7 linked regions of the Cricetulus griseus genome follow. The protein of the gene in region 7 purifies or fractionates together with the protein of the main gene of each other region. This does not show direct contact. Links are inferred from orthologs where the notes say so. Each region holds a gene or a part of one and is shown on either strand. Other genes may lie near its edges.

Evidence for each region.
Region 1: the proteins of Cd2bp2 (region 7) and Sart1 purify together in Homo sapiens (affinity purification with mass spectrometry; 4 studies listed by BioGRID and IntAct, with this or other methods). This does not show direct contact. The link is inferred for Cricetulus griseus from reciprocal best matches to the Homo sapiens genes CD2BP2 and SART1.
Region 2: the proteins of Cd2bp2 (region 7) and Prpf3 purify together in Homo sapiens (affinity purification with mass spectrometry; 3 studies listed by BioGRID and IntAct, with this or other methods). This does not show direct contact. The link is inferred for Cricetulus griseus from reciprocal best matches to the Homo sapiens genes CD2BP2 and PRPF3.
Region 3: the proteins of Cd2bp2 (region 7) and Dhx38 purify together in Homo sapiens (affinity purification with mass spectrometry; 3 studies listed by BioGRID and IntAct, counting the BioPlex papers as one, with this or other methods). This does not show direct contact. The link is inferred for Cricetulus griseus from reciprocal best matches to the Homo sapiens genes CD2BP2 and DHX38.
Region 4: the proteins of Cd2bp2 (region 7) and Ddx23 purify together in Homo sapiens (affinity purification with mass spectrometry; 6 studies listed by BioGRID and IntAct, counting the BioPlex papers as one, with this or other methods). This does not show direct contact. The link is inferred for Cricetulus griseus from reciprocal best matches to the Homo sapiens genes CD2BP2 and DDX23.
Region 5: the proteins of Cd2bp2 (region 7) and Eapp purify together in Homo sapiens (affinity purification with mass spectrometry; 3 studies listed by BioGRID and IntAct, counting the BioPlex papers as one, with this or other methods). This does not show direct contact. The link is inferred for Cricetulus griseus from reciprocal best matches to the Homo sapiens genes CD2BP2 and EAPP.
Region 6: the proteins of Cd2bp2 (region 7) and Usp39 purify together in Homo sapiens (affinity purification with mass spectrometry; 5 studies listed by BioGRID and IntAct, with this or other methods). This does not show direct contact. The link is inferred for Cricetulus griseus from reciprocal best matches to the Homo sapiens genes CD2BP2 and USP39.

What each region holds. Positions count from the first base shown.
Region 1 is NC_048596.1:53,945,796-53,949,863, reverse strand, and holds the start of Sart1 (U4/U6.U5 tri-snRNP-associated protein 1), read right to left. Parts: upstream 2,801-4,068; 5' UTR 2,725-2,800; coding exon 2,412-2,724; intron 270-2,411; coding exon 212-269; intron 1-211. UniProt on the Homo sapiens protein: Plays a role in mRNA splicing as a component of the U4/U6-U5 tri-snRNP, one of the building blocks of the spliceosome. May also bind to DNA.
Region 2 is NW_023276806.1:60,654,367-60,657,866, reverse strand, and holds part of Prpf3 (U4/U6 small nuclear ribonucleoprotein Prp3), read right to left. Parts: intron 1,318-3,500; exon of another isoform or gene 1,317-1,317; coding exon 1,186-1,316; intron 1-1,185. UniProt on the Homo sapiens protein: Plays a role in pre-mRNA splicing as component of the U4/U6-U5 tri-snRNP complex that is involved in spliceosome assembly, and as component of the precatalytic spliceosome (spliceosome B complex).
Region 3 is NC_048596.1:185,933,518-185,937,585, forward strand, and holds the start of Dhx38 (pre-mRNA-splicing factor ATP-dependent RNA helicase PRP16), read right to left. Parts: upstream 2,801-4,068; 5' UTR 2,496-2,800; intron 1-2,495. UniProt on the Homo sapiens protein: Probable ATP-binding RNA helicase. Involved in pre-mRNA splicing as component of the spliceosome.
Region 4 is NC_048595.1:395,146,137-395,150,421, reverse strand, and holds the start of Ddx23 (probable ATP-dependent RNA helicase DDX23), read left to right. Parts: upstream 1-1,485; 5' UTR 1,486-1,638; intron 1,639-4,285. UniProt on the Homo sapiens protein: Involved in pre-mRNA splicing and its phosphorylated form (by SRPK2) is required for spliceosomal B complex formation.
Region 5 is NC_048598.1:147,611,368-147,614,867, reverse strand, and holds part of Eapp (E2F-associated phosphoprotein), read right to left. Parts: coding exon 3,490-3,500; intron 2,268-3,489; coding exon 2,172-2,267; intron 1-2,171. UniProt on the Homo sapiens protein: May play an important role in the fine-tuning of both major E2F1 activities, the regulation of the cell-cycle and the induction of apoptosis. Promotes S-phase entry, and inhibits p14(ARP) expression.
Region 6 is NC_048601.1:64,076,363-64,080,454, reverse strand, and holds the start of Usp39 (U4/U6.U5 tri-snRNP-associated protein 2), read left to right. Parts: upstream 1-1,292; 5' UTR 1,293-1,325; coding exon 1,326-1,590; intron 1,591-3,680; coding exon 3,681-3,750; intron 3,751-4,092.
Region 7 is NC_048596.1:73,578,254-73,582,435, forward strand, and holds the start of Cd2bp2 (CD2 antigen cytoplasmic tail-binding protein 2), read left to right. Parts: upstream 1-1,382; 5' UTR 1,383-1,537; intron 1,538-1,990; exon of another isoform or gene 1,991-1,996; 5' UTR 1,997-2,019; coding exon 2,020-2,097; intron 2,098-2,292; coding exon 2,293-2,428; intron 2,429-2,544; coding exon 2,545-2,702; intron 2,703-2,804; coding exon 2,805-3,240; intron 3,241-3,318; coding exon 3,319-3,425; intron 3,426-3,503; coding exon 3,504-3,614; 3' UTR 3,615-4,182. UniProt on the Homo sapiens protein: Involved in pre-mRNA splicing as component of the U5 snRNP complex that is involved in spliceosome assembly.

The sequences.
Region 1 (4,068 bases), about 20 Mb from region 7:
CAGGCTTCCAGAACAGGCTTCCTGACTGGGGAAGACTATCCTTCCTCTTGGGTCTCAGTTTCTTCCACGTAGCTCCTATGGTTGGCAGTATGACTCATCTGGCCATTCCAATTCTAACTGGCTTCATTTAGATTGAAAAAGTTTCTATAGGTAACAGCCCCAGGTGCAACCAGTCTCAGAGGAAAATCAAAACAGCATAAGGGCTACTCACTTGGTCTCCTCGATGCTAAGTGACGAGGCATCTCCAGAGCTAGTTTTGGAGCTGGCAGCTAGAACAATAAGGAGCACGGCTTAAGGAACCCATGAACATGGGACCAAGAAGCAACATCATGGTCTTCAGTTGCAAGGTCGAAGACAAGGGCCCCCACCAGCACCTGGGTAGATGACACCAGAAAACAGCAGCCTTCTTCCCCCAGGGTTCCCTGCAGCTGCTACCCAGGCCCTTATCTTTTTTCTGCATCCCTCACTGTGCCACTCCAAATCTCCACACTCTACCTTCAGCCTCCACAGTCCCTTCTGCTCTTGTTCTCATAAAGTTCTATCAAAAGAGCAAGTATCATCTCCTCCATGAAGCCCTGCTCAATTACTGACCAGAATTAAAACTCTGCCTAGAACGGCACAGCACTGCTTGTCATTTCTGGCACTTTCTGCCCACAGCAGTGTATGGAATACTTACTAGTGTGTGTTCCATGCCAGATGCTATGGACATAGGAAAGGAAGCACTCTGGACCTGATCTATCCACCCCACAAACAGGAGAGAACTTCAATAAACACTATACAGAGGAAGATGCCACCAGGATGCCCAAGTCCCCTGTCACACACTACTCACTGCTCTTTAAACCCTTCCTCCTCCACCTAGGCTCTGGACCCCATTTTCTATATGAACTCTCAAGTCTCAAGTCTCCCTTTTTCCAATTAGCAGATTATTAAAAAAAAAAAAAAAGTTTCAATTTAGGGGCTGGGGAGATGTCTCAGTGGATAAGAGCACTTGCTGTTCTTACAGAGGACCCAGGTTTGGTTCCCATAATCTATATGGCATCTCACAACCACCTAACTCATTTTCAGGGGATCCAATGTCCTCCTCTGAACCTCCACAGGCACTAGGAATGCACCAAGTGCATATTCACATATGGAGGTAAAACACTCAAATGCATAAAATGAAAACAACCCTTTGTTTACAAGTTCTGGTTCTGCATAATGCCCTGTGGTGTGTGATGCTCTTAACCACTCTGTCTTTTCAACAATCATCTCTTTGTACAGATCCTATGACCCAACTGTAGTGTTCTTGCCATTTGGCTACTCTTTATTTTTTAAGTATGTTTCTCTGCCCACAATTGAGCTATTGGCATTTACTAAGTTCTATTTCTGATCCTAGTTCTCACTCCACACACTCTAGGGCACTTTGGATTCCTGAATACACACTAGCCTCAAATCACTCTATCCCACTTAAACTGTAGGTTTTCCCATACACACTGACCAAAGCTCTCCCAAACTGGGTCATTCTCCCTTGCCTCAAATCTGCTAGTCTTCTAAACACCAACTTCAACAGATGAAAACCATTCACCAGGCGGGTAAGGTCAAAACTCCAGGAGGCATTCCCTGTTCCTCATCCCTCCCATCCCCTTAGCCCACGCACTAAATTTTGTTCATTGCACTTCCTAAACACCTATTCAATCTTTCCAGTCTCTCCACCCTACTGCATGGAGAAACATGCATACTCACTGTTAGTCCTCACCTGGTTGGGTTGACCTCCCTCCTAATCTCAGGGTCTGTAGTCCTATTTTTGACAAGCTCTCAACCCAGAGATCCTTTTTTTTTTTTTTTTTTTTTTTTGTTTTTCGAGACAGGGTTTCTCTGTGTAGCTTTGGAGCCTATCCTGGCAGTCACTCTGGAGACCAGGCTGGCCTCGAACTCACAGAGATCTGCCTGCCTCTGCCTCCCGAGTGCTGGCATTAAAGGCGTGCGCCACCAATGCCCAGCTCAATCCAGTGTGATCTTAACATATGAAGTAAATCAACCCACTTCCCTACTCAAATCCTCGACTCCCTACCGTCTTCATCACAAAGCCCAAATTTCTCAACAGAGCTTACAGCACAGGGTCCTTGGTGTTCAGACCCAAGCGTATCTTACTGCTTCATGACGATTCCACCTACTGTCAGGTTTCTCTTGCCTCTGTCTGTGCATGCTCGCACCTCCTCCTTTCGCCCACCCACCGCATTTACTGTCAAGTGCCAGACGGGAAGGGGAAACGCAAGACCCCGGTCCTTCCGAAGCTTAACATGGGGAGTCAGTCTTTAGTCCCCAACAGCCGGAGCAAGTCTTCAGCCCGAGAGGCACAGGCCCTGGCGGTCACCCTGCACCCTCCGTCCCGCGCACCCCAGGCCCCTGCCCCGCCCCCGCCCCGCCCTCACCGGCCTCGTAGCCGTCATCGCGTTTCTCTCGCTTCACGCGCCGCTCCGAGGGCTCCGCTTGACTTCGTTCGCGACCGTGCGCGCCGCCGCGGGCCTCGGCTTCGGCCCCGCGCCTCCCGCTCCCGCGCTCGCCCCCACGCTCGCGGCTCCGCTTCCGTCGTTCGCCGCCGCTGCTGCCGCCGCCGCTGCTGCGATGTTTGTGTTTCTTGTGCTCTCGATGCCGCGGCGGCTGCTCGGTGGCGCCCCCGGTACCGGCCGCCGCCGTCGTCCCCGCCGCCTCCTTCTCCCCGCGGTGCTTCTTTGACGACCCCATGACTAGTGCGTCCGTCTGGAGCCGGGCCGCCACCCGAGCCCAGACGACGCAAAATGGGAATACTTCCGGGTCGTGCGGCCGCCGCTGCGCTGTTGCCGGAAACTAAGAGCGGCTGCTTCCGGGGCCGGCCTGGGAACCTCCAGAGGCTCATGGGAGGGACGGGTTGAGACTGCGCATTCCCGGCTCCCGGGGACTGGCTCTGCGCATGTGCACCTGTAGAGGCTACGGGGTCGGCATTGGCTCTCCCGGGTTAGAACTGTAACAGCTTTGGAATCGTGCTAAAAGCCACCGTCTGCGGAGCTGGGAGCTCTTTCCCTGACCTTTCCACTCCGAGAGCCTCGTGGCGCTCTGTGCCTCAAGCCTCTTCGTGGGCGTCCCCTCCTCCAGTGATTGTCCTTCTCGTAGGCTCCCCGGGGCCGGGGATCCGTCCGGGGTTGGAAGATACCGCATGTTTTCTTCTTGAAGAAACCAGCTGCAAAGCCCCAGACTTGCAACCCCAATAAACCACTGTTGCCAGCGAATGCTACCGTCGCCCACTTTCCCTGGATTGGTAGATTGGGTCTTTTTAACCTGAGCTCTGGACTGCTACGGAACACTATGAATTTGTGCCTGTGAACCCCGTGAAATTGAGTGCTGTTTTTGTTTCTAATTTTCTTTTTAAGATAGGGTCTATATAGGTCTGGTTGGCCTAGTGCTTGTTACGTAGCCCTGGCAGGTCTCGAACCCTCTGGTTCAGCCTCCCGTGTGCTGCGAGTGGCCGGGATTTCAGGCATGCTCGCCCAAGCCAGGCTCAAGTGCAAATTGGGCAGATCCGTTTTTCTTTTGCCTGCCTGCCTTCCTTCCTCCCTTCCTTCTTCCCTCCCTCCCTCCCCCCCCCTCTCTCTTTCCTTCCTCTGTCCCGTTAACTATGTGGCCTCAGTCCGGGATTACAGGCACAAGCCACAATGCCTTGCTTTCCCAGCCTTTTCTCTCTTCCTGGGCTTTTTTATTTGGTTGATTGCTTGTTTGGTTTGGTTGTTTTGTTTTGGTCTTGAGGAGATGAGCTTTAAAGTTAAGGATTCACACACTCCCTTCTGCTACTAGTTGCTCCTCTGTGGGTTTCCTGTGTAGCACACCTCGGCGTGTTTTGGTATGGTTTTCCTGCTCCTTTACGGCTCTGCTCTACTACTGAGTCTTCAGAGGTGGACCTGTTCACTAGCATTTCTAGGTGTCCCACTCAGTAGCAGAGACAGCATGTGTTTGCCGAGGAAGGGGTGCAGCCAGGGTTCCCAGAATATGTGGGAAGTAGCTAAGTCCAGGCCACCCACTTACCACTGCCCCCCCCCCGCCCCACAATGCATAACC
Region 2 (3,500 bases), on a different chromosome or scaffold from region 7:
GCACTCAGGAGGCTGGGTCAGAACCTGAGTTTGAGGGCAGCCTGGGCTTGGTGGCAAGATCTTGTCTCAAAAACCCAAAACAAGGGCTGGAGGGATAATTAAGAGGTTAAGAGTGAGTATGGCTCTTCCAAGGACTAGTGTGGTTCCTAGCACGTATATATATGGTTGCTCAAAACTACCTGTAATTCAAGCCCCAAGGGATTTGACACCCTCTTCTGACCTTTATGGTCATCTGTGTGTATACACATACATAAATAAAAATTTTAAATGAATCTTTAAAAAAATCCATAAACAAAAGAAAACATATTAAAGACAAAAACAAGCTGATCATGGTGGTACACACTTGTAACCCTAGCACTCAGAGAATCACAGTCCAAGACAGGCAGAGCTAGCTATATAGTAAGACCCTATCTCAGAACAAACCAACCAAAAACCCAAAAGAGGCAAAAGAAAGTCAGACAGAGAAATGGGCTACATTGGGGAACTGAGATAAGATCATATATAAAAAGACCATGACTATACTGTAACCACAAAATAAGTACTTAGCAGAAAAGGGAGTATTTCTAACTCTTTCACACATCCCACTCATGGAGCCAGTAACCACATACAACAAATGTGGACTATATGGCAGTTAGTTTCAGGCATCTTATCTACAAGTATATTAAATAGAAATCTTTATTAATGAACAAGACTAAGGTCCACAGTCAGGAAGCAGTGGAGATATGATGAATCAACTTACTAGACTTTAAGTAGACCAAGATTCTTAGATCAATCAATTTATAGGTAGTAGGTAAAGAGGGAATGGTGAAAATAAAATGTATGAATAAAGAAAGGACAAGCTATCAATTACTTCCTTGGACTATTTTAAATGAACCTTTTTGAGAAAGGTTCAGGGTGATGGAGATAATATAAATCCTACCCTTCTACTTTAATGTCTGAGGCTCCCTCTTGAACACTGGGTGTTCTATTTTGTTGTTGTTTTTAACTCTATTTGTTGCAGTACTGGGATTGAGCCCAGAACCTCATGCATGCTGGACAAGCACTAAGCTCTCTATTACTGAATTTTAACCGTAGCCCTCACACTAGGTGTTCTAATAGTAGATGTCAAAGTGTAAGCAGGTATGCCAGCACATTTCTTATTCCAAACACTCCTGAGCTTATTATTATATAGTGACCGTAACCTACCTTTAGTTCTCGTTTTCTGCTTCTGTCACTGCTAGACTTGGAATGTCTAGAGCTTCGACCTTCCTCCACAGCCTCAAACAGCTTATCCACAAATCGGAGAGTAGAATCATCAAGAAAAGGTTTCAGGTGATCTGACAGGAAAAAAGAAGCCACAGATTGAAGAGGTAAAAGTATACAGTTCAATACCAAACATGTAATAAACAACAGACTAGAATAAAAGGGAAAAAGGTTTTACTCTTCATTTCTTTAAGGTATTGTTATTTTATTTATTTATTTATTTATTTATTTATTTATTTATTTGGTTTTTCGAGACAGGGTTTCTCTATGTAGCTTTGGAGCCTATCAGGCACTCACTCTGGAGACCAGGCTGGCCTCGAACTCAAACAGATCCACCTGCCTCTGCCTCCTGAGTGCTGGGATTAAAGGCATGAGCCACCAACAGCCGGCTGTAATTTTATGTTTTGACTATTCATGTCACTACATGCTGCACGCCCAAGGAGGACAGTAGACAGCACTGGAATTAAGACAGCTGTGAGCTGACATGTAGGTGTTGGGAATTGAACCTGGGTCTGCCACAAAAGCAGACAGTGCTCTTAACCGCTGGGCCATCTCTCTAGCTCATGTAAAAAAACATTTTAAGAACTTCTTTGTAGAGGACTAGAGAAATGGTTAAGAGCACATACTGCTATTGCAGAGGGCCCAAGTTTGTTATGCAGAATCCACAATGAGATGCTGACAACTGCCTATGACCTGGGGGGCGGGGGGATCTAATGCCTCTGAGGGCACCTTCCCTCACACACACATAAATTTATCTTCCCTCACATACCCCTCCCCCAAATTTAAAATTGTAGTGGCTCAAGAGGTGTTTTATCAATTAAAAGCACTGGCTGCTTTTCCAGGAACCTAAGTTTGATTCCTAGTACCCACATGGAAGCTCACAACTGTATGCTGCAACTCCAGTTTTAGGGGACTGAACTCTTTCTAGCTAGCTGCACACTTCTGGGGTGTATACATAAATGTAAATGAAACACACACATAAAAAGTAAAATAAAAGCCGGGCATTGGTGGGCATTGGTGGCTCAAGCCTTTAACCCCAGCACTTGAGAGGCAGAGGCTGAGGCAGGCGGATCTCTGGGAATTCAAGACCAGCCTGGTCTACAAGAGCTAGTTCCAGGACAGCCTCCAAAGCCACAGAGAAGGCCTATCTCAAAAAACCAAAAATAAATAAATAAAATAAAATAGCTTCAGACACATTATGTCTTTAGTTCTAGTACTCAGGAGACAGAGGCCAATTAGAGCTAAATAGTGAAATCCTGTCTTCATAACTAAGTAAATAGTTTTCTTCTCGGAATTCCCAATTCCTGATATACTTAATGACCCTGCTATATGAGGTAAAAGGTTCTAATTTTTTTTGGAGCACAAAGTAGTAGAGCCAGATAAATCTGCTTAAATTAAAATTCAAAGTTTAAGATGAGGGCTGGGAAAGTAGCTCTTTGGAAGAGTACTTTGCTTGATAGGCACAAAGGCTTGGGTCCCCAGCACCCTAAAAGATAAATATCACATCATTTAAACTTTTCATACACAACAAATCAAAGGCAACTACCAGCAAACCCACCTCCCTGTACCTTTTCATGCATCTTATTAGACTTCCACACTCTAAGGCATCAATCGGATCAGGCTATTTGACTGAACAGTGCTTCCTAAGCAAACTTGATTTAGGTGACTTGGGATGGTGGCCAAAGACTGATTTATTAACGTGCCACAAATAATAAAGAGAGAGAGAAAAATTGGTTATTTAAGCTCTTCCCATTATAACAGAGGGAAAATAAGGAGAGAGGGTATGGCTCAGTTGGTACAATGCTTGTCTAGATTCTGGTTTCCTCCATCTCCAGGACTGCAAAAGTCAGGTGTGATACATGCTTATAATCCCAGGATTCCGGATGTAGAGTAGTGGTCCTCAACCTTCCTTTAATACAGGTCCTCATGTTGTGGTGACTCTAACCATAAAATTATTTCATTGCTACTTCATAAGTGCAATTTTGCTACTGTTACGAATTATAATGTGCAGGACACAGCTGTTATGTGTCCCCTGTGGGGTCAAAACCCACAGGTTGAGAACCACTGATGTAGAGGAAAGAGAATCATAAATCTTAGGCCATCCTCCCCTACATACTGATTTGGAAGCCAGGCTGGGCACCACTGAACCCTGTCTTATAAACAAATAAACAAACAAATAAATAAATAAGGAGTAAGGAGGGTAGTACACACCTTTAACCCCAACACTCAGGAGGCAGAGGAATGTGGATCTCTAGGAG
Region 3 (4,068 bases), about 110 Mb from region 7:
CTGAGCCCAAAGCATCTTCTGCTATCAGAGGGTGTGTGTGTGTGTGTGTGTGTGTGTGTGTGTGTGTGTGTTCATGCAGGTACACAGGCACTGTGTGCACATGAGGCCAGAGGTCAATGTCAAGTGTTTTCTCAGTTGCTCCCTTACTTTTTGAGACAGGGTCTCTCACTGGACTGGGAGTAAATCCAGCCAAGCTAGGGTGTCAGCAAGCTCCTGGGATCTGCCTGTGTCTGCCTCTTCAGCACACAAGTGCCTCTACTCATAGCTTTCCTTGTACTCGGATCCTCATGCTTGTGAGAAGGCACTTCACCAACTGAGCCATCTCTCTAGCCCCCTTTGCTACTTCCGAAGACTTTCCCACCAAATCAGTGACGATCTCAAAAAGTTTCCCAGTTCCCACCTCAACATATATGAAAGACACAGAGACACATATACACAGAGCAAGTGGTAGGATCAAGAGGGTATCATCCAGACAAGAATAAACTTCAGTAAGGACTTCTTACTGGAATACAAAAAGGGACTAGAAGGGGAACTAGATGTAAGTCAGAAACCTCAATTAAAATCCAGTTTCTGGTCCTACGCACGGTGACACCCACTTGTAATCTTAGCAGGTGAGAAGCTGAGGAGGCTCCAGAGGATGGCAAATTTGAAGCTAGCCTGAGATACATAGTGAGTTTCATAACTGCTAGACTATTTAGTGACATATTCATTCATTCATGCCCATGGCCCTCACTCATAGATTTTCCCTACCCATTATTTAATTTATTCTCCTGTAATTTCACCCTTCTACTTTCTCTACTTAAGAATCACAATAATCACCTTTAAGATCCCCATTGGCTTACTGCCTCCAAACATCAACCAAACACGCTGGCCTTTTTCATGTCAGCTGCAGCAGCACACCCTCTTCTTTAGTAACAGACATTAAAAAATAAAAATAAAAAAGATACCCAGGCTCTTGGCATTTTCTGCTTCTGTGAGAGTAAGCAGCAGGCTTGGTTAGCTATTACTTCTCTATACACTGCACAGAACCACTGTGAGAATCTAACAACTGTACATGAACCATAGATGTTTTGTCAGTGTAATTATTACACATTTGCTATTATGCCCCTGTATACTGACTAGTTTCCTTACTAATATTTCTAATATTTTATATACATTCTTCTACTCACCTATCCCCTCCCCCTTGAAGCCACAGGTTCCACAAAGTGTAAGTGTAAGGACATAATTTTACCATCCATATTCTACACACTTGGTGACTTTTGTTGTGATCAGTAGTGTTTTGTGCAAAAAGGGGGGAAAAAAAGCTGCCCATAGCTGGCAAAAATCTCTTGAATAAGAAACTGTATTTACCAAACTTGCATATGAGAAATGCTAAGTTAAGGAAGTGGTATTTCAGGAAAGTGTTTAAGAGACTGCAAGATCTCCTGGTTGATAACACACTCGTCTTTAACTGATACCATCTACTTAGAAGCATGAACTTATGTTGGACACACAGACAATTATTCTCATTCCAGTAAGTCGTTAAAGCATAAGAACTGTACCTCTGGAATCTACACTTCTTTTGCCATATTCTAATCGGCATGCACAGCTCTACCAAGGAGTACTGCAAACATGATGTAGATGAACAAACAAGAGCTTCATTTGGAAATTCCATCAGGTGGAGCAGAAAAAGAAAGTTACATGTAAATATACATGAGGAAATCCAGACGGGGAGACTGAGGTACACAGACTCTCAGCAGTTACCTGAATGATGACTTATGTCCTAAAATGTCATTTGCATACAAGCGAGAGGCTGTCTTGTTGACTGCTATAACCCAGCAATGGCAAAATGAAAGTCTAATTTTAAAGCAAATGAATAAATATATCCTATTAAAAGAGAACAAGAACTCAAACATTTCTCTGGACAACAAGAAGTTTATCCACAACACAGGTCAAGGAAGGATTTAATTGTCCGCTCAAAATAGCAAACAAGGAATTCCAGGGCCAGATTATGGAGAAAGATCAGTGACACAGAAGCCACAAAGGACTTCTTGGGCAGCAACTGCATGTGTCCTTGAGTCAATTGTTCTCAACAATACCGATTTTAAAAACAAAAACCAAAAACTCCCTGCCCTTTGCGGTTAATATTCTACCTATAGATTAACCACCAGACTTAATGGAGACACTTCGGTGAGAAAGGAGGAAGGCAGCAGGAGCCCTATCCAGACTCTCTAGGTAACAGGTTAGGGCACCGTCCTAAATAAACCAGGGCGCAGGGCGGATGCCTCGATCTCAGGGGGCCGTTCCCAAACACAAGGATGTGACCATAACGGGGACAAAGTCCGGAGCAGGCTGAATAGACACAAGACCGCTCAAGTGAGTAGAGAAAGTTGGGTAACAAGGACAAGAGGAACTCTGAAACCAGGGCCCAAAACCTAAGCCGCGAACCGACCCCGGCCGCCTGGAGCCACCATGGCGGCCGAAGGACGGATCTGGAAAGAGGAAGAGATACTCACTTCACCAAGCACGACTCTCGGGACCTTCTGCCACTGATCTGGGGACGCCAGCGCGAACACTGCTCGGTCTGAGGGTCTCAAAGAGGTAAATTCCACTGTTTGAAAGCGGCCATCATTGTCCCATAATGCCCTGCGCGGGGTCCTCTATCCGTCCAAAAATACCATCGAGAGTAGCCCAGAAATACAAGGTTCCTGGACGCCAGAGAGAAACAACGTGAACACGCCTTCAAAGCCACGGTGTCTTCCTCTGGGCCCCAGGTTTCCTTGCGACCAATCGTGCTTAGAGTGATAGCTGATACCCCGCCTCTGGCCTGTGGGCGTGAGAGGCAAGACAGACCGAGGTCAGCCATATTTACTAAGGGCGGAAATGACATAACTTCCTGTTGGGGCAGTGCCAAATGGGCGAGAACTATAATAACGCCGTCTGCTTATTGGGCTATTGACTGGGACGCGCGATGGTACGTTCATTTTCTGCGTCCGTGTTTCATTTTCACTTCCGTTTGTTCGGGTTTGCAGGCCAAAGAAGGGTTTCTAAGCAACAGCCCAGGTTAGTTGGGGTTAAGGTCCTTTCCCGGGTTGGGACCGATGAAGGAGACAGTTGTGCCTTGGCTATCGGTGAAGGAATCCGGACTGCTGACAGGTGGTTTGTGTCCTCCCTGGCACCTGTGGACCAGGAGTAACCCAACCGCCCGCATCTTGTAAAACACAGGTGCGGAACGTTTTGGAAAGTAGACATATCCGCCCTGAGTAAATAAGTTATCTACCTGGCTTGGTGGCACGCTCCTGTAATCCCAGCAATTGTGAGGCAGAGACAGGAAGATTGCCACAAACTCAAAGCCAGCCTGAGCTACTAAACGAGACCCTTAGTGGAAATAATAATCACTTGTCCATGTTCAAGTATGTCCTTTGATGATATCTTGGAATATTTATTTAATTGTGATTTCCACACACTTTCGTTGTTGTTGTTTTTCAAGAAAGAGTTTTTCTATGTAGCCCAGGCTGTCCTGGAGCCTACTGTATAGACCAGGCTGGTCTCAAACTCACAGAGATCTGCCTGCCTCTGCCTTCCAAGTATTGGGATCAAAGGTGTGTGCCACAGCGCCTGGCTCCACACACTCATAACTGATCTGTTTGCCATGTGATAAAGTGCACCTAGGAAGACGCCTTAAGCCAGGTCACGAGAATATACAAACGTCCATCAATGAAGGACCACTAAAGTGTGGTCCACATATGAAATGGTATGCTACCGTGATAAAAATCTGGACGTTTTCTGTGTAGGGCTATGGGAATCTCATTAAATGTTAGATTTAAAACAATGCAAAGTGCAGAGAGATGGGTGAGCTATGTACTGAGCCTCTGCTATTCCCAACTGCTCGTCCTCCTAGAATGCTGAGATCAGCAAGTTTGTCTGCCTCAGCACTTCCCATAAATTCTGGTTCCATTTGGAGTCAGGCAGTGATATTGAGGGTGGGGATAGCAGTATCCTTTAGTGGCAGGCCAACCTGTCTTTGTGCAGCTACCTTCCTACTCAGTTGTGCACAGCTCCACAGACTATTGAGTGGGATCAGCGCTT
Region 4 (4,285 bases), on a different chromosome or scaffold from region 7:
CATAGGTATTAGGCCACACTCCTTATCAGTAAAACCAAAGGATGCCCATGTCATACTGATATGACAACTGAGTAAGACAAGCAGCCTAAGTGTCTAGCCAGAGCTGGAAGGGATTGGCATTAGGAAGACTGTCAACAGCTGAAGGGTTCTAAAACTCCCAGCCACCTTTGGTCTGTAGGGTTTTTTTTTTTTTTTTTTTTTTTTTTTTTTTTTTTTTTTTTTTTGCATTAGGGTTTCAGTCTGTGAGTGGAGAGCCCTCTAGTGTTCATTATTCCCAATAGATCTCAGACTGACTGAGCCCTCCCTGTGCTAGAAGTTGCAATGTATAAGGTTACTAGAGCTCTCCTAAAGTCTCCTAAACTACACAGAGCACTGTCTGTGAAGCTGAGATTTTGGATTGGGATATATTCAGAGACCCTGTTTGAGAACAGAAAGAATATATAGAGTGAAAAAAAAAAAAAGAGACTGGAGGCTGGAGAAATAAATGACTCAGCCATAGGACCACTGGGTTCTCTTCCAGAGGATCCAGGTTCAATTCCCTGCACCCACATGGCAGCTTACAACTGTTTGTAACTCCAGTTCCAGGGGATCTGACACCCTCACACAGACATTCATGCAGGCAAAACACCAATGCACATTAAATAAAAATAAAATAAACAAATAAAAAGGCAAACCAGGCCAACAACTCTGTGGGATTAAAGCAAAGTTGATGGGGAAATGTTGTTTAAGGAAGTGCTGGGTACCCCAGTTTCTCTCAGCCATCTTAGCAGGTACAACTTTCATTTTGTTTTGGCGGGTGCTGATGGTGCAGTTTGAACCAAAAAGGAAGAAAGTGGGTATGTGATTAGAAGAAAAATTCAGTGGACCGATGGAGGGAGAACCTGAAGGAAGAAACCAACAATAACAAGTGGCCCAAACAGCCCAAATGATCCTGAAGAAAATAATTTTCGTGGGTCCCATCTGGGATGTTGAGTCAGCAGTAAGAGTTTAGGAGAAAGTCCTTCCTGGGAAGTCTTTGGAATGTCGGTTTATTATTTATTGGGGGGGGGGGCTTGGAGCATTAAGGAATTCACCCTACTGGGGCTGGGGCTCAAGATTGTTAAAATACCTTCCTACGATTGGGGTAGTTCTACCATGAAAACTGTACTACCTTCATAGGCTGCTCCAGTTAACTAACTTTTAGTTCATCCAGCTGTAAAAGGGAGGCAATAATCTCTCTCGCGATTTTTATAAAAACATTTTTTAAAAAACAGTAAATTACTTGTTGCCGCAAAAATTCCCTCGCTGCCAGCTATGACTGCGATTAACTCCAGTGTCTACTAGAAGATTCCAGAGAGCCTGAGCCACAAGAGAACCTTGCAGGCTGGGAAGACAACACTTGGAAAATTCTTTCTCCCACAGAAACCGAACCTTCGCGGACCACACTACCCAGAAGACCTTGTGGCTCGGGGCCCTCTCGCGTGCATTCTGGGATTGGTAGTTTTTGGAGCCCGTTCGTCAGCTCGCGCGGTGCGGGCCCAGGAACTCGCCTTCCCGGCTACCCGCGCGGCCAGGGTGCTCCTCCGCGATCAGGAAACGCGAAAGATGGCGACTGCTCGGCGACGTTGAGGCCGCGTTAGGCGGTTCAGACGCGGGGTGGTGAGTGTTGGGCGGCGGAGGTGATTCCTATGAGTTTGGAAAGTGGGCGAGAGCGGGGAGATAGCCCTGGCTTCCGCTTCTTGGTCCAGACGGGGAAGAACGCCTCAGGGAAGGGGCACGAGCCCGGGAAGCTCTGGCGGTCAGGAGCGAAGGGGCGCGGGCCCCAGGAGCAGTGTTGGCTGTCTGGGGCACAGGCCACCTCCAGGACGATGTTATGAGCCAAGATTTTGGCCCATGGACATCGCGCTTGCTATACCTCAGTCTGACTTTATTCCTGATCCTTTACTTCAACCAGACTGGACCTCTGATGTACTTCCAGAAACCAGTCTGTGCTTTCCCGCTACGGCGTCGCCAGTATTACTGCTTTTGCCGGAAATTAGTTCTAACCCTCACCCTCATCTTCAAATGCTCAGGATACACTTCTTCCGTGGATCCTTCCATATCCTCTCTTACGAATGGAAAGAAACTGCTACTTTGGATTCTCGCAATACTTATCTGATTAGTCTTTACCTTGGCGTGTCTCATGCCTTCTGCTTCCTGTGGGCAGAATTTCATTTTGTAACTACCACAGGGCCTAGGACCGAGTCTTACATATAGTAGCAACAGTTAAATGAAAATAATTCGCCTTTGCCCTACAGCAGAACTGGGAAGCACAGCCAGGGTCTTCTATAATCATTGCCTATATTTGCATTTTTGGTTTTGCAGACAGGGTCTCTTGTAGGTCAAGCTGGCCTTGAACTCAGTATGCAGCTTAGTCTGTCCTGACTTTGAACTTAGTCCTACCTTCACCTTCCTAATGCTAAGATTTCAGTCGTAGACTACTTAGCATTTCTCCTAGTTTATATATTTATATACATATATATGTATATATATATATTGTAGTTAGATATCAATAGACAGAGAATAAAAGCAATGTTTTCAGGCAGGTGGTGATGGTGCACACGTTTAATTCCAGCAGGGAGGTAGAGGCAGGTGGATCTCTCTGAGGCCAGTCTGGTCTATAGAATGAGTTCCAGGACAGCCAGCGCTGCACAGAGAAACCCTGTCTGGAAAAACCACACACACACACACACACACACACACACACACACACACACACACACACACACACACTTTCTTGTAAGTCACCACAGGAATTTTTTTTTTTCTCTCTCGGGACAGGGTTTCTCTGTGTAGCTTTGGAGCCTATCCTGGCACTCGCTCTGAAGACTAGGCTGGCCTCGAACTCACAGAGATCTGCCTGCCTCTGCCTCTGCCTCCCGAGTGCTGGGATTAAAGGCGAGCGCCACCAACACCCGGCACTTAGAGCTCTTTTAATGGGGGGGGGGGAAAAAAGCTCTTTTAATGTTCTCAGTGAGATTAAGTTGAAATTCAGGTGCTTTTGCCCTGGACCCTAACAGTTTATTTTGCTTTTATTGTCAGTTTCAGTTCTCTTCCAGACCCACTCCATCCAAGTTTGTATTCTTCCCCTTTCCTGCCATTCAAACAGCTTTTGTGAAGGCCACTAGTCATCTCCTCCCCTCCCAAATCTTCAATGGTTCTGTGTTGACTATTCTCTCTTTGAAATGTGTTTTGCTTCTGCATTGTTATAGTTTACACCCCTACCCCCATCCCTGCTGCTGTTTTTTTCTAGTCTTTTCTTTTGTCTCTTCTAGGCACCCTTCAGTGTTAGTGTGCTAGAGCTGCACTGTGGATCTCCTCTTCTGCCTGCTTAGGTGATGTTTAAGACACAATGACTTAACAGCTGTCTCTGTACTCATATTTTTGTCTTCCCGTGTCTCTTTAGAGTTCCAGATTTCTCTTTGGTTGCTTTCTTAATATCCCACAAGCTGGCAAAAATGGCACTTTTGTTCTGTTCCTTCCCTAGTCTTCTCTGGTTGCTTCACTGATGGTAACAAAAACCAGTAGTTTCCTCAAACTGTATGTACATTTAGGAACTGTTTTCCGCTATCTCATCCCTTCCCCAAACTTTGACAGTAACATGTTTATTTTATCATCAAATAGAGAATGCAAAAGAAGTTTTGTTTTTGTAAATTGTGTATGTGTGTGTATGAGTGGTGAATACATAGTATATGTGTTGTGGGAGGGACAGAGGAGGACACTGGGTGTCCTGCTCCATCATCTCATTCCCCCGGGACAGGTCTCCCCTTGAACTTGGGATGGCCTCCTGCTTCCACCTTCCTTATAGCCCTGGAGTTACAGGTATATTTAACCATGTCTAGCTTTAACATGGGCACTGGGAATTTAGCATGTACAGAAAACACTCCTACCTGCTGAGCTATCTCCCCAGCCCCAGGAGCTGTCTTTGTGTCTCCTCTGTAGTTTTTCCCTTTATCAGTAAGTCTTGTTAGCTCTACTGCCAAAGTATGCCTGTCTCTTTTTGCATCCCTAGAACAAGCCACTGTCATCTCCTGCTTAGATATAGTTGCCCCTTGTGATTATCTGAGGAGAATTGGTTCTAGGACCCTAGGTGAATAACAAAGTCAGCATATGCTCACGTATCTTCCATAAAATGTCACAATATTTGCATATACACTACATAATCCCCCTGCATACTTTAAAAGATTTTCTAGATTAATTATAAATGACAAATGGCTTTGTAAATTGTTGTTTTGCATTATTTGGGGAATGGTAATTTTAAAAATCT
Region 5 (3,500 bases), on a different chromosome or scaffold from region 7:
TCTGTAGACCAGGCTGGCCTTGAACTCACAGAGATCCACCTGCCTCTGCCTCCCAAGTGCTGGGATTAAAGGCGTGCATAACTACCACCTGTCAAGTCTGGCTTTTCTGAGTCCATGAGCTTTGCTTCTAAATTAGTTGGTATTCTTGCCAGCAGAGCTCAGATGCTTGCTATCAAAATGGTATTTTAGTTTGTTCAGCTTCATAGATTTTGCTAACAGAACTTCACAACAAATAAAATATCATGACTTCTCAATTCCTGCTGTAATTGTTGAGGTAAACCATACTGTAAAAAAAATACTATATTTTCTTAATATTTTCCTATATATAATCCATTGGTTTTTCGAGACAGGTTTTCTCTGTGTAGTTTTGGAGCCTATCCTGGCAGTGCTCTGGAGACCAGGCTGGCCTCGAACTCACAGAGATCCGCCTGCCTCTGCCTCCTGAGTGCTGGGATTAAAAGCATGGGCCACCAATGCCAGCCATAGGATGGTTTTCTAATGAAAATAATATACAATAATAGCTTTTATAAGACAAAAGATGATACATTGCATATTTCAGTCAACACAGTTTATTAAAATGTTCTATGACTGGTCAGGCATGGTGGAGCACGTCTTTTATCCCAGCACTGGGGAGGCAGAGGCAGGTGGATCTCTGTGAGGTCAAGCCCAGCCCAGTCTACAGCGTGAGTTTTAGGACACACAGAGCTGGTATGCAGAGAAGCCCTGCCCCGAAAAGCCCTGTCTTGGTTTTTTATAACCCTGTAACTATCACAAGGGAGCAATATTCACATCAACCACAGCTGAACATAAAAAGACAGATCAGCATCTAGATTAAGTTTCCATGGTACACCAGCTTTTATTTTATTTTATTTTTTTGCAGTAGTTGATGATTTTACATTTACCCATTAATTATAATTTATAAAGTGTAGTTTTACCTCCAGTATTGCTGCTTTCAAAACATTAGCTGCTCTCTACACATGTGTGACTGGTCTGCATAAGGACATTACTGCACCCAACCTGTCACATACACCTGTATTTGTTTGGGGTACATGTGAAGGAGTTGGAGTGATGATGTCATCACACCTGTATCTACATGTAGGTGGACCACCTGGAGGCCGAGAGAGGCACAGTGTCTCAGTTCCTGAGAACACGGGATATGTGTGTTTTCTGATGGTCTTAGGCAACCCCTGTGAAAGAGTGGTACCCCACATGTTGAGAACTGCTATTGTAAACGCACACATCTGCACGCCCTGCCTTTCTTATTAACCAATTCTGCACCCCCATCAACAGCATACACTTTCTTTCTTTTTTTCTTTTAAGGACAGGGTCTTGAGCCAGGCGTTGATGGCACACACCTTTAATTCCAGCACTCAGGAGGCTAGAGGCAGGTGGATCTCTGTGAGTTCGAGACCAGCCTGGTCTACAAGAGCTAGTTCCAGGACAGCCTCCAAAGCCACAGAGAAACCCTGTCTCGGAAAAAAAAAAAAAAAAAAAAAAGAAAAAAAAAAAAAGACAGGGTCTTACTGTATAGCTCTGGTCTGCCTCTGCCTCCCTGAGTGCTGGGACTAAAGGTGTAGCCACCACACTTGCACACTTGGCTTAGTCTATAGTTTCTTTCTTTCTTTTTTCTTTCTTTTTTTGTTTTTTGTTTGTTTGTTTGTTTTTGTTTCTCTGTGTAGTCTTGGAGCCTGGCCTGGAACTCACTTTGTAGACCAGGCTGGCCTTGAACTCACAGAGATCCACCTGCCTCTGCCTCCCCAGTGCTGGGATAAAAGATGTGTGCCACCACCACCCAACAGTCTATAGTTTCTTAAAAATAACTTAAGAGAAGAGCTGGAGAGACGGCTCAGCAGTTAAGAGCACTGGCTGCTCTTCCAGAGGACCCAGGTTAGATTTCCAGCACCTACATGGTGTGGCTCACTGAAGATGGAGGTTTCTGCCCTGCTGGTCCCACAGCTCACAAACATCTATAACTCCAGTTCCAGAGAATTCAACACCCTCTCCAGGACTCCAAAGGCACCAGGAATGAACATGGTGCACAGACAATACATGCAGGCCAAACACCCATTAACATAAAATTTAAAAAAATTCAGATGGAAAATCTAATATTAAATAACTGTCAAGGCAGATAATATTCATAAAATACACCTGCTAAACAAAAAGGTACTCACCTGCTTTGTCTTCATCCTCAGAATCGGAATCAAAATAAATGTCATCATAGTACTTTGCTGTAACTCCTCCAACATTCCCAACTGCCGAAGACCCTCCTAAACCACAAGTGACATTTAGAAACTAAACCACATATGGTCCTCGAGGAAACAAAGAGCCTGTATATATACTTCTATTACACAAACAATATTAATTTATTCACAATCTCATTTGTATAGTAAAATATTCTTATGCCAGTGACTTACTTGGTATCTGTGCCCTATGTACCCATAGGGAATCACTCCTGGACAAGTTTTCCAAATTAGGAGAAAATTGTTCTTTCTCCCTTCCCACAAATCTAATTAAAACTTAAATGCAGATTTCCTGGTTCTCAGCATATATACTTCTACTTTTTCATGCATAATACAAATACTCCATGGAGAACAGGGAAGGGATGTCTTGTTTCAAGGGATGTTAAGACAGGGATATGGACCAAGAACAGACTTCCTCTCTCCAGCTTGTCTTCACATGCCTGTGTCCCTGATTCTTCCTCTGCGTCAATTATATCTTTCAGTTCCTCAAGTTATAAACACACCAACGTGAAAACCAGTTCCGAGCAGTCCTACTTCCACAAACCAATTTCTGGGTCAAGTAACTTTTACATAAAAATCTAAAAATGAAATATGCTTATTAGTCACTACAAACGGACAGGAATCTGTAGTGACATACCATTAAACCTTACAATTTTTCGTATGCCTTGTTTTTCTTTAGGTTTTTTTGAGACGGGGCTTCTCTGTGTAGCCCTCGCTGTTCTAGAACTCACTCTGTAGACAGGCTGGCCTCAAACTCTAAGATCCGCCTCTCTCTGCCCCCAAATGCTGGGGGTAAAGGTGTGGGCCACTATGCCCACATGTGTTAAAAACTACAAAAGGAAATAATACATGTATTTGTTATTAAATAATATCTTTCCAATAACACATGACACGTGTTAGTCAGTGGAAAACTCGGGCAGATTGTCAAGTACATTCATTTCTTCATTTAGTAAGGATTGTATTAATCAGGCCTGTTCACACTCAAGAATCGAGGCAAAAGGATCACATAGGCTACAGTGAGTTCAAGGCCAGACTGAATAACTAACCAGACCCTGTCTCAAATTTTAAGGGAGGTGGGGCTAGAAGTCGGTGGTAGAACATTTACCTAACAAACACAAGACCCAGGTTTACCTCCCATCACTACCCGTCATTCACACACACACACACACACACACACACACACACACACATATATACACTCATTCACTCCCTTACAGGGTGTCTTGTGAGAACTGAGCCCACAGTTTACCTGTCCCCATG
Region 6 (4,092 bases), on a different chromosome or scaffold from region 7:
TGCGCCACCCAGTTTACTTACTGTAGGCTTTGTACGTGGGTGTTGGGATTTGAATTCAGGTCCTCATGCTTGTACAGTAAGCATTCTCGCCATCTGAGCCATCTTCCCAGTTGCTTGCTTATTTTCAAGTGGACATACTAAGAACACCTGTCTCATATAGGTAATGAGGCAGACAAGTGCTCAGGTAGGTAAGTTTTCTCCACCCATACCCAGCCCCTATTCCAGCCACATTGGGGCTTCACTGTCCCGGCCCAGACCACTTGCTTAACTGTGCCCATGGGAGGAGCCAAGGCTTTTGAGGGTCTAATAATATTGAGCCATCTCTCCTTTCTTTCTTTCCTTCTGCTATGGAGCTCAGGATAGTCTCAGCCTAACTATGTAGCTTAGGCTGGCCTTAAACTTTGGGAATCTTTCTGCCTCAGCCTGAGTCTATATTTTTTTAAGTCCTTGTTTCAAAATGTGGAAATCAGGAACTCATTATTAGAACAGTGACAGACTAGTACTAGTACAACTGTGTGATGGAATATTGCAATGCAATGTAAAGGAATAGATTGTCTGTACGTCAGGTGTAAAAGAGGCCAAGTTAGAAAGTTAACACTGTATAACTCTCGAGTATAAAATTCTAGGAAATGCAGTCACCCAGTGGTTTGGGTGGGAATCCACAGGGGCACAAGGACATTTCTGGAGTGAGACAAGTTTCTTCTCTTGATTATGGCAATGGATTCACAAGTGTTCACACTTCAGAATTTAGCTAATTACACTCGTCAAATATGTGGTACTCTGTATGTCAATTATACCTCAATGGAACTGTTCAAATAGGCAGGGACTAAGGCATGCCTCAGTGGTAAAACTGAATTTGGAGTTTTATTAGCTAAACAGTAAGTGAGCCTTGGCAGAGTATTTGCAATTTTCTAATTTCAGGATCCCTCTAAATATGGTACTAATTGAAGTTCCCAGGTACAAACCTGAATGGAGGAGATAAATTTGGGAATACTGACTCTCTTTTCTGTGTAGGTCATCAGCTCTGGATCAGAGGACTTCTCTGGATTGTCGTTTCGAGACACAAACTGTGTCGAATGCCAGCTTCCTTTCTTCTACAATCACTGTAGCCTGTGAAAGGTTCCTATCTCTTTAATCTGTGAAGAGATGATGGATAAAGAATTGTCTCAACTGGGCAAGTAGTGCCCATTAGGGTCCAGCCGTCTGTATTGTCCCTCTCAGCGACTCGTAGGGAGCTGCGCGTCAGAGGCCAGCTCGGTTCCTGATTGGCCGCGTGCCTCCAGCGTGCGCGGCGCCAGCGCGGAAGCTCCTAGCCGGTGGCGGCGATGTCTAGCCGGTCTAAGCGGCAGTCTCATGGTTCCACCCGCGGGAAGCGCGAGTCCGAGTCGCGGGGTAGCTCGGGTCGCATCAAGAAGGAGCGAGACCGCGAGCGGGAGCCGGAGGCGGCGAGCTCTCGGGGCAGTCCGGTCCGCGTGAAGCGGGAAGCCGAGCCGACTGCGCGAGAGGTCCCGGCGCCTGCGCCCCCGGCCGTGAGGGTGAAGCGGGAGCGCGAGGCCGACGAGGACTCGGAGCCCGAGCGGGAGGTGCGAGGTGCGCGGGGCCGGGCCGGGTGCGCCCTCCACCCTCGCCTGCTTTCTTCTTTTCTCCCTTTTCTTTCTTTTTTTGAGACAGGGTCTCAGGAACTTGCTGTTGTAGCCAGAGATAACCTTCCTCTCGCCTTCACCTCCTGCCAGTTTTCGCCTGCTTTTTACTTTCCCTTGCTTCTTACGCTTCCCTGTCCAAGGTTGAATCCAGACTGGACTGTCTTCAGGTGAAGACAGTTCTAATATTAACCGTTGTCACGATACATCACGGCTCCCCTTTGTCGAATAGCCCACGTGAGTTAGGTGCTCTGCTGATAGCGTTACAGGTATTCCCCTCTACAGTTTTTGCAAAATTCCTAAGATGCAGGGTCCTGTTGTAATATCTGGAATAAGCTCGTTCAGCCGGGATCTCTCTGCACCCGATTAAAGTACTGACTATTAGTTCAGTAGTTTGGAGACAATTCTGCTTCTCCTGGGTTTTGCAGGAGGTTGTTGTAGGGGTTCTGTATTGTTTTGTCAAGGATGTTGATATAGTGACTACCCTTGGGAGACAGATTGTATTATTATTCCATAATAGAGCTAAAGGGACGTAAACTCACAAGCAGATAGGATACCCTTCTTTAAGGGCAGGGTTTTTTAATAAGGCAACCCAGTTTGAGCACTGGCTCTTTCTATTCTCTTGTGTGACTTGAATCCAGGAACTGGTGAAGATGTCATGTCATTGGCTATTGTTATTGCTTTAATAGACTCTTGGTTTTAGTCAGTGATATCACATGCCTTCCATCAGTGATCATGAAGCTGTGGCAAGCTAACAAATCAGCTTGCTAGTAGGATTAACTCTCAGAACCATCACAATTCTTAGACAAATGGTAGATTTAAGATGTTCAACTTATCTTAATACTTGTGATATATTGGGTTATGTTTTGTTTTTGTTTGTTTTGAGACAGGGTTTCTTTGTGTAGCCTTGGCTGTCCTGGAACTAGCTTGTAGACCAGGCTGGCCTCTGGACTCACAGAGATCACCTGCCTTTGCCTCCTGAGTGCTGGCATTAAAGGCATGAGCCACCACTACCCAGCACCTCATTAGATATTTATTTAAAGATTTATTTATTTATTTATTTATCATGTATACAGTACATGCCAGAAGAGGACACCAGATCACATTACAGATGGCTGTGAGCCACCAATGTGGTTGCTGGGAATTGAACTCAGAACCTCTGGAAGAACAGTCAGTGCTCTTAACCCCTGAACCATATCTTCAGCCCCTATTTATTTATTTATTTATTTATTTATTTATTTATAGGGTCTATTTGCTTTGTTTTTCGACAAAGGGTTTCTCTGTGTAGCTTTGGAGCCTGTCCTGCAACTTCTCTGTAGACCATGCTGGCCTGGAACTCACAAAGATCTTGCCTGCCTTTGCCTCCTGAGTGCTGGGATTAAAGACGATAGAAGCTATACCGCCTGGCTATTTACAGGGTTTTAATAAGTAGTGTTGGCTGGCCTGGAACTTTCTCTGTAGATCTTGAACTCACAGATTTCTCCTGTCTTTCCCTCTCAAGGGCTAGGATTAGTAGTGTGTGCACCACCACACATGGTGAAAAAAAAAAGGTGTAGTACATTTATTTATATATACGTGTGCATGTACTATGGTGTACATGTGGAGGTTACAGGGCAATTTGTGGGAGTCAGTTCTTCTCTCTTGCTCCCATGCACTCTAGTAATTAGATTTGGTGGCAAATACCTTTACTAAGCAGTCTTCACTTGCTTAGATTATGTAATATGTGAATTAATCTCTTGTTGGTTATGTGTGTAATAGATCTAATCTCAGTTTGCAGTTTTTTTGGAATGTTGTCACTACAAGAAAATTAAAAGCTCATCTTAATCTTAGTTGATCAGATTTTCCCATTTCCATGGGAAATATCCATGGGAAATAGCAACAAACAAAACAAAATGTACTTGTGATTTGAGTAGTCTGCTGTCCTCCATTTATGATGCTGTGTAAGAGCAAATCCTGCCCTTACTAATTAAGTGCTCTATCACTGAGTTACATCCCAGCACAAGTTTTCCATTTTAAAGTCTGTGATGGATTTCTTCTCAGCAAAGAATGGCCGAGTGGATTCTGAGGACCGGAGGAGTCGTCACTGCCCATACCTGGATACCATTAACAGGTCAGTGATACAGAGAGGATGAGGAAAAGTCTTGGGAACATATCTCAGCAGTGGAGTACTTAGCCTGACATGTCAGAGATCCAAGGTTTAATTCCCATTACCATACAAACAAATCAGTAGATTTGAGATACAGAATATGGTAAAAATGTTGTAGAAAATTCTCCAAACTCAGCAGTGAACAATTCATTCAAACTTTTCTCCTTTTTAGCCTTTCTGTCTTGAAAATGGTGCTTCTTGCCACGTTCTTTCATGTTGTCCCTTTAAAGTGGCCAAGTGAGGGTGTTTGTTTATTGTGTATCTCTGGCTGTCCTAGACCTCAGTTTGTGACCAGGCTGCCCTGGA
Region 7 (4,182 bases):
AGGGTGGACTGGCTGCCTTCAGTTCATCTCAGCAGGTGCACACAATCAATCATCCAGTTCTTGTTTTCTATGGCTAGCTTGTAGCCCCCCAGCCCTCCCCCTTGCTTTCTCCCCAGGGATCAGGATAGTAAAGGCATGGGGTTTGTGGTCCTAAGGTGGAGCTCCTCATGGCAGTTCAGCAGGATGAGGCTCAGGGGTGTGTGGTCTCCAGGTAGAAGAGGAAGTTCCCTCTGGGATGCACCATAGTGCCCAGAGCTGGTGTTTCAGGCATTCTGTAGCAAGATGCCCTCCTGGGCTAGGACCTGTGTTCTGTGCCCGTGGAAGAAACTGAGGACACAATTCCAAGTTTCATGGTGATTCAGAATGGAGAAAATCCTGCAAGAGAAAGGTGTGGTCCATCTGGCCGCCCTCATCCAGCTCTTGCAGGATCACCTGAGCTATCTAGCCTGGGGGGGAGGTGTTCTGGCTTTGAGTTGTTCTCAAGAGCTCCAGATCTAGACTTCACTAGACAGGAAGATCTCACCTGGCTCCACCTCTGCAGGAGCGGGATTCCATCACCTTAGCATTTTGCTGAGGGGTGGGGTAGACTTCACCTTGCAACTGGATGTACCCCAGAGTAGGGCATTATGGGCTTCTGGCTGGGTACTGCTCGGATGCCAATGCTACTTCCTGTTATAGTTCCCCTGCAGAAAGAAGGAATTGAATGGGAACAGACATGGGGCTGGGTCCTAAAAGGAGCTAGATTTGGAAAGTGCCTAAGTATTGACAGCCAGAAACAGGACTCAGGAAAAGCAAGAATTTTTTTTTTTTTTTTTAAAGAGACATCTCACGTTGTATCCCCGATTGGCCTCAATCTCGCGACAATCAGTCCTGCTTATTTCCCGAGCGCTGGGACTGTGTCAAGCTTGGAAAGCAGGGTTTCTATTGAATTCCGTTGGGCGCAAAGAGCCCTATATAGAGAGTCAGACTGGAGCCCACAGCTTCTGCTCGGCCTTTGTCCCTCCATCCAGGACTTGGGAACCTCTTTTTTTTTTTGGTTTTTGAGGCAAGGTTTCTCTTTGTGACTTTGGAGGCTGTCCTGGAACTAGCTCTGTAGACCAGGCTGGTTTCGAACTCACAGAGATCTGCCTGCCTCTGTCTCCCGAGTGCTGGGATTAAAGGCGTGCGCCACCACCGCCCGGCCTTCAGCACCTCTTTAAGCAGACAGAGCGTCACGTCCTCACCTGAGTCTCCATTTCAGAGGAATAACAAACACTTGCCGCCATCCTCAAGCTAAGTAAGGCTGGGGCTGGTATAGGAGTTCACGCGAGTCTTTTGGGGTCTTACGTCACTTCCTGCGGAGACTGTCTTGACCAAATGTACACATCCGCCCGTTCCGACAGTCTTTTGGATGGGAGTGAAGCAGCTTCCGGCCTTATGGAGGTCTCCACAGTCTCCTTCCGGGTTATGGAGGCGAGTGCCCCGGATGTAATACTGGCGAAAGCATCTTTCCTTTCTTTCCCCGCCTGACCCCGGGCTCCTCGGTGAGCGCCAGCCGGTAAGACTGTTCGAATCCCTGCGAATTTGCTTCCTCTCTAATTTGTGCGCCGACTCTGACATGGTCTAGCAGCTCGCTGCGTGGAACTGGGGGTCCTAAGCAACCAGGGCGCCAGCTCTTGGGTCCGACCGGCCTCTGTGGGCACTCGGGTGGGAGCTGGGGGAGCCCTGTAGCTCCGCACTGGTAGGGGAGTGGTGACGTAGGGGAGCCTGGCTTTTTTTCCTGCGTGGGAGTACGCACAGGGTCCGCGCGGGGGCGGAGATCCGCCCGTCAGGGCCTCTGAATGAATTGCCAAACCAATTCCCGACGACCCGCCTGCTAGCGCTTGAGATGGTTCAGTGACCCTTCCTCGCTCAAACGGGACCTGGCGCTTACCAAGGAAAATGTGGTGCCACAGCGCTCTCGCGGCCGGCTCTCCTTACCTAATTTTCTTACTCCGTATCCTTTTCCGAGGTCCAGCTGGAGGAAGTGTTCTGCCAGTCATGCCAAAGAGGAAAGTGACTTTTCAAGGTGTGGGAGATGAGGATGATGAAGATGAAATCAGTGTCCCCAAAAAGAAGGTGAGATGGTCAGACTCCTAATGTCTGTGGAGGACTGAGGAGAAATAAAAGGAAGGAAAGCTGAGAAGCGAAAGAAAGGGTTAGTTTGCCCCGGTGCGCTGGGTTTGGTAGGTTTTCAGTTTGGATACAGATCCTGGAATATTTGGGAAGCTCGCCAGTAGGTTGCCTTTCTCATTTGCTGGTTTCTACTCACAGCTGGTGGACCCTGTGGCTGGAGCAGGGGGTCCTGGGAGCCGCTTCAAAGGCAAACACTCTTTAGACAGTGATGAGGAGGATGATGATGATGAAGGGTCCAGCAAGTATGATATCCTGGCCTCAGAGGATGTAGAAGGTGAGTTATTCCCAAAACATTAGCTGTGTTGGAGGGCAAGTCTGATTATGGAGGTGGGAAGTGTGCCTGTCTCTTTTTTGCATGCCTAGCATGGGGCCCCCATGTCTTTGGTGCAGGTCAGGAAGCAGCTACTCTCCCTAGTGAGGGGGGTGTGAGGATCACACCCTTCAACCTGCAGGAAGAGATGGAGGAAGGCCACTTTGATGCTGATGGCAACTACTTCCTGAACCAGGATGCACAGATCCGAGACAGCTGGCTGGACAACATTGACTGGGTGTGGCCCAGGAGCTGTCCTGGCTGAGGCCTGGGAATGCAGGTGCTGGGCCTGGGCCCTGGTGGAAGTTTGTAGGAAATAATAATTATCTTTCCCTTATAGGTGAAGATCAAGGAGCGGCCACCTGATAAGCACCAGGTTTCAGACTCAGAGGAGGAAGACAGCCTGGGTCAGACTCCGATGAGTGCCCAAGCCCTCCTGGAGGGACTTTTGGAGCTGCTGTTGCCAAGAGAGACAGTGGCTGGGGCACTTAGGCGTTTGGGGGCCCGAGGAGGAGGCAAAGGGGACAGCAAGGGGACTGGACGGCCCAATTCCCCACAGCGCCTAGACCGGCTCTCTGGGTTGGCTGATCAAATGGTGGCTCGAGGCAACCTTGGTGTATACCAGGAAACAAGGGAACGATTGGCTATGTGTCTGAAGGGTTTGGGGTGTCGGACTCAGGGATCCCATGACCCCACACCTCCACCCTCCCTGGACATGTTTGCTGACGAAGTGACAGAGGGAGAACTGGAAACCCCGACCCCTGCGCATAAAGGAGGTAAGCTTTTAGGACACAGGAGAGGCAATGCCAGTGGGAGACTGGGCACTTAAGGCCGATACGTCTTTGTTGTCTTAGAAGCAGAGTCAGCGGGAGATGGTCTAATGGATGTGATGTGGGAATATAAGTGGGAGAACACGGGGGATGCTGAGCTGTATGGACCATTCACCAGTGCCCAGATGCAGGTCAGTGGCTTCCTCCTGTCTTGTCTGTCCATCCCGACTTCTGTCATCTTTCCTAAGTTTTGTCCTCTCTTCTTACAGACCTGGGTGACTGAAGGCTACTTCCCGGATGGTGTTTATTGCCGGAAGCTGGACCCTCCAGGTGGTCAGTTCTACAATTCCAAGCGCATTGATTTTGATCTCTACACGTGAACCTGCTAAGGGCCCAGTGTGGTAGCCCCTTTTTCTTGGACTTGGCAGAGGAGGCCCCAGCTGCCCTGGGCAGTGAGGATCTTGGAAGCTACTCTTCAGCCACTTTCCCTTTCCCAATAAAAGCCTTGAGTGTGCATCAGGGCCTTGATGTGCTGGTAGCCAGAAGCCAGGGCTCCTCCGTAGCTCCTGTTGGCTTACCTGGCCCTTGAGTGTCTCCTCCTTCCTTAGATGCTTCTCTCTGGTGTCTTGGACCACCTCGGTTTGTTTTCCGCCCTTGGTGGCAGTAGTAGGGCCCGTCAGGTGTCCTGTGACTTGCCATGTCAAATTCCCTTCAATCACTCTATTCTCCTATCTCCCCTGCAAGTCCTTGTTTTGCTGATCTTCAGCTTTTAGGACCTCAGATTCTCTGGCCTAGTAACCCCTTTGCAGCTGGGACATTTGGAAAAGTTTGAGATCCTATTGAGAACACTCAGGAGGCCTCTTAAACATGGGTTCTCCTCTTCTCCCTAGTCTGATTTTTCCTTCCCTTGCAGTAGCTCCCATAGCTCTTAGGTGAAGCATGAACTTA